Kluyveromyces lactis: one gene and its partner. The protein of the gene in region 1 purifies or fractionates together with the protein of each later gene. This does not show direct contact. Links are inferred from orthologs where the notes say so. Each region holds a gene or a part of one and is shown in the gene's direction. Other genes may lie near its edges.

What was found. Proteins that work in one complex are often made in the same cells at the same time.
Region 2: the proteins of PET117 (region 1) and COX15 purify together in Saccharomyces cerevisiae (affinity purification with western blotting; 3 studies listed by BioGRID, with this or other methods). This does not show direct contact. The link is inferred for Kluyveromyces lactis from reciprocal best matches to the Saccharomyces cerevisiae genes PET117 and COX15.

Annotation. Positions count from the first base shown.
Region 1 is NC_006039.1:730,366-732,319, reverse strand, and holds PET117 (Pet117p), read left to right. Parts: upstream 1-1,124; coding exon 1,125-1,436; downstream 1,437-1,954. Other genes in the region: putative isoleucine biosynthesis protein HMF1, read right to left, coding at 269-691. UniProt on the Saccharomyces cerevisiae protein: Involved in the assembly of cytochrome c oxidase.
Region 2 is NC_006041.1:912,951-916,116, reverse strand, and holds COX15 (Cox15p), read left to right. Parts: upstream 1-1,021; coding exon 1,022-2,506; downstream 2,507-3,166. Other genes in the region: ATP-dependent Lon protease PIM1, read left to right, coding at 1-566; MAG1 (DNA-3-methyladenine glycosylase II), read right to left, coding at 2,704-3,166. UniProt on the Saccharomyces cerevisiae protein: Catalyzes the second reaction in the biosynthesis of heme A, a prosthetic group of mitochondrial cytochrome c oxidase (CcO).

The DNA of each region.
Region 1 (1,954 bases):
CATCACCGAACAGTCCTCGATATAACAATATTCATTTTTTTTGCCTTTGACTGGAGGAGACAAATGGTACGAACCTCATGAAAGAAAAAGTGAAAGCTATTTCTTAAGTGCGGTGCAGAAGATGAAGATAAGGATGCTTGCGTTGGGGACATGTATGTTAAAATTCAGTATATATTTATATACAGAATAGTCTATATATAAGTCAAAGCATTTCTATGTGTGACAGTAAAGGATAATATACTTCAGATAAACAAACGTATTACTGCAATTAATCCTTTTCAACAGCAATGACTTCCATTTCCAAGTCGACGTTCAATGGCAAGGCCTTGGCAGCGACACAAGATCTGGCAGGCTTGTGCACGTTAAAGTACTTAGCGTAAACGGAATTGAATTCTGCAAAGGAATTGATGTCGGCTAGGAAGATGTTAACCTTAACAATCTTGTCCAAATCAGAGTTGGCTTCGACTAAGATATTCTTAACGTTTTGGATAACTTGTTCAGCCTTATCAGCGATAGAACCTTCTACAGGCTTGTTTTCTGCGGTATATGGAATTTGACCGGAAACAAAGATCAAGTTGTTGACCTTGATAGCCTGGGAGTAAGAGGCGGCTGGTGGGGGAGCCAATTGAGTCTTAACTGGAGTCAATGTGTTCATTCTTCTTACAGTTGACTTGAGGGCTTGTCTAAACATAATCTAGGTGTAGAATGTAATCAATTATTAGAGGTTATCTGATGAAAGTTATACAGAAACAAGAATCACTCGAACTAGTTTAATATAAATATAAATATAAAATATGCTGCTTTTACTCACAATGGTCACCCTTTACTGGTGATTGGTAGTAAACGGGATAAATAAACTGTGTGGGACTCAATTTCAGATAATGATACTGATGAATTTATGTCCGCATATCCGGGTAACTTTTCCCTTTTTAATTCCCACCATGGCAAAACGGTCAGACATTCGATAATCTGAAATTTAGTATGATGAGATATAGATCAATATTGCAGTAATAATGATTCCGGCGACCGTAGTCAAACGGAGCTAGCTATTCTCAGCCTTTCAAATTAACGAGGAAAGAAAGAAAACAAAGGAGGAAATAATCGCATATCATATATCAGACATCATGTCTCGTGCTAGTAAGATCACTCTTGGATTAACTACTTTGTTCACAGCGACGATAGTCGTAGGTGTTCATCACGTACAAGAACTTGAAAGACAGACTTTACATCAGGGACCAATCAAAGATGCGCAAAGAGTAGCAGAGAAAAAACTAGCCAGACAGAATGGCGTAGACCCTGAAAAGGAACGTCAAAGAATGGTAAATAAGAACGAACATGAGTATCAACTCGAATTAAGAAAGAAATACGAACAGATGCAACCTTTGAGCGGGGAGGTTCGAACTAAGGATAACGAACTCATAGAACAGAAGAAGTGATATGTCAACACGAACATGTTGTATATACCATTAACCGTTTCTTGTAAATATGCATATGTAGCGACCCTCAAAACACTATATTATTAGTATTGACCTTATAGGACAACATATTGTGCACGTGATGTTGGTATGTTTTGTATGGGAACTTCTGAAACCGAAAACTACCAAAAATAAAAAAAAAAATAAAAGAGACAGAAGAATATTAGGGACTGCAACAACGTGTAGAAACAAGGCGAGTTACATAAGACGACAGAGCAAAGTGTTATTCGTGCTGTGGTCCATTATTATTACAGTTTTGAAAAGACATCTTGGGAAATTGATACTTAGTGGGAGGCACAACAATTACACAGGATACGATTGTTTTTTTTCCTCTATTTTTCCTCTTTTTTTTTGCGAAACGATTATTTGTTTAGTTGAATAAGGACAAGGGTTTATCTGCAATTTGAAATAAGGAACAGGTACCATTTTCTCAAAAGAAATAGTTTTCAGGGACCTCAGAGTGGAATCTGGCAAGGGCT
Region 2 (3,166 bases), on another chromosome or scaffold:
TAGAACAGCCTTTGACACATTCAACTCAACCTACTTTAGAACGTACCGGCCAACTTGGAGATGTAATGAAGGAATCCTCTAGACTAGCATACTCTTTCTCAAAGATGTACTTGGCCAAGAAGTTCCCAGAAAATAGATTCTTTGAAGTTGCAAAGATCCATTTGCATTGCCCTGAAGGTGCTACACCAAAGGATGGTCCATCTGCAGGTGTGACAATGGCCTCTTCATTCTTATCACTGGCTTTGAATAAGGGTCTTGACCCAACAGTGGCTATGACCGGTGAATTGACTTTGACTGGTAAAGTTTTGAGGATCGGTGGGTTAAGAGAAAAGGCCGTAGCAGCCAAGAGATCTGGTGCCAAGACTATCATTTTCCCCAAAGACAATTTGTCAGACTGGGCTGAGCTTCCAGAGAATGTGAAGGAAGGATTGGAACCTTTGGCCGCAGACTGGTACGAAGATGTTTTCCAAAGACTATTCGGAGACGTAGACACTAACAAGGGTAACACCGTTTGGTCAGAAGACTTCAAGAAGATTGATGAAAAACGCAACAAGGAAACTAAATAAATCAAACCCAATGTCATTTATCTTATTTAGTCCCATGTAAATATATACACTACTGTAAACTAAACACAGACGAATTTGATACGAATCCACCGCCGAATGAACCCCAGGTACTACCATTCTACTTAAACAACGATTATTTGGATATACAGACAAAACGTACACGAATTCCCCATGCGGCCTTCAAATAAGTATAGAGAATTTATAGATATTAACAACATCGACAAACTGGCCAAATATAACGACATGTCAACTCGTTATTCAATAGTACGTTTTATCGGGCTTCTTTCTGCTGACGCTTTTATATAGTTCCCTTCACGTTATGGAATGATCAGGCTCAATATAAAAAAAAAAAAAAATGGAACGATGAAGCCTTTCACTAGTAACATTAACAGAAGTAAGTATTGAACCACAGAGGCCAGATTCGATCTTTTGAAGCTGACAACCTAGTTATCACTATGTTCAGAACTTTGGTTCTTGGAGGCAGAGGCCTCAGCGGTATTCGCATAAGTTCCCGTGGTTTAATGACCCGTTCAATATCAAATTTGGTAAAGACAAAGAATGTGATTCCCACTGTTGCTCTTAAGAGAGCTTTGCCAACAGTTTCAATGGCGTATTTCCATACCAGATCTATTGTCAGGGAAGCTGTACAGGTATCGCAAACTACTGGTAATGGTATAACAACAGCTACGGCATCCACGGCTAAACAAGCTAAGTCAAAACCCTTGCTAAATTCATCAAAAGTGGTAGGGTACTGGTTAGTTGGTACTTCAATTCTTGTGTTTGGTATTGTCGTTCTCGGGGGGTTAACCAGACTTACTGAATCTGGGTTATCTATTACAGAATGGAGACCTGTCGCTGGTACTTTACCACCCTTGAACCAGCAGGAATGGGAAAATGAATTCACCAAGTATAAAAGTTCTCCAGAATTTAAACAGTTGAACTCTCATATTACCTTGGATGAATTCAAGTTCATTTTCTTTATGGAATGGATTCATAGACTATGGGGCCGTGCTATCGGTGCTGTATTCATTCTGCCTGCTGTCTACTTTGCTGTCGCTAGGAAGACATCACCTCATGTTAATAAAAGATTGTTTGGTTTATCAGCACTACTAGGTTTACAAGGTTTTATCGGTTGGTGGATGGTCAAGTCTGGTTTGGATGAAACACAATTGAAGGAAAGAAAGTCCAAACCGACTGTCTCACAGTACAGATTGACTACACATTTGGGTACCGCTTTCATGTTATATATGGGTATGCTCTGGACCGGGTTTGAGATCTTGAGAGAGGCCAAATGGGTTAAAAACCCATCCGAAGCTCTTGTTTTATTCTCAAAACTAGATAACCCAGCACTAGCTCCATTGAGAAGATCTGCACTTGGTCTACTAGCTTTGACCTTTGTTACTGCGATGTCTGGGGGTTTGGTTGCTGGTCTGGATGCTGGTCTAATCTACAATACTTTCCCTCACATGGGTGATGATTGGGTACCAAGTAAACGTGAATTAATCGACGAAAACTTTGCTAGAAAAGAAGACAAGAGTGATATGTTTTGGAGAAATATGTTGGAAAACCCAACTACGGTTCAACTGAATCATAGGATTTTGGCTACAACCACTTTCTTCGCTGTGTTTGCATTCCACATGTACTGTAACAGAAACAAGGCTATCATTCCTAAACAAGTTCTACGTACTGCTCATGGTATGATGGGTCTTGCCACTTTACAAGTCACTCTAGGTATTTTTACCTTGTTATATTTGGTTCCAATCCCTCTAGCTTCTGCTCACCAAGCTGGTGCCTTGGCATTATTGACAGGTTCATTGTTGTTTGCTTCTCAATTGAGAAAACCAAGAGCCGCAATTAGAATCCTCACCGGTGGACTCTATACACAACAGCAAAAGGCCTCTTCTAAAATCTTAACTGAGGCTTCCAAACTTGCGAAGTGATCTTGGGAACTACGAATGGATCCTTTTTTTTCAATTATTTTCTTGTTTGTCCCCTTTACTTCCTATTTATTATAAACACTGGGCAGCACATTAAATGTTATCTTGTAAATATATATACTCAAAAGTTGCTACCAGTGAACTCCTACCTTACTTTAAAGTGTACTGTTTATACACAGCAATTACAATGCCTCTAATTATTACTTCGACATAAACCTTTTCTCATTATTGATGACAACTTCCATGTTAGTATCCGACATTCTCCAAAGAACGAACATAAATAACGTTCTATGGGGGCTAAATAAATCACCACAGAGCTCAACCACGTCTTCATCGTGGATTTTCCACTTGAAACTCTTGTGCTTTATTTTTGATTTCTTGATAAGAGTCCGCTTGCTGTGAAGCTTCTTTAAGATCTCTGGTCGTTGTTCCAAGTACCTTGAACATCCCCTTGCGATTCCCAAATCTTCAGCTGCAAATACATTTAAGCGATGTAAACCTGTAACTAAAAACATCTTCGCTGACCACGGTCCGATACCCTTGATATTTGCGACTAGCTCTTCGATGATTTTATCATCGTCTGCAAAGGCAAAGAGATCTTTTATAGAATCCTCGTTATTGAAAAAATATCCAACCAAGGACTCAATATACATCAGCTTCCTT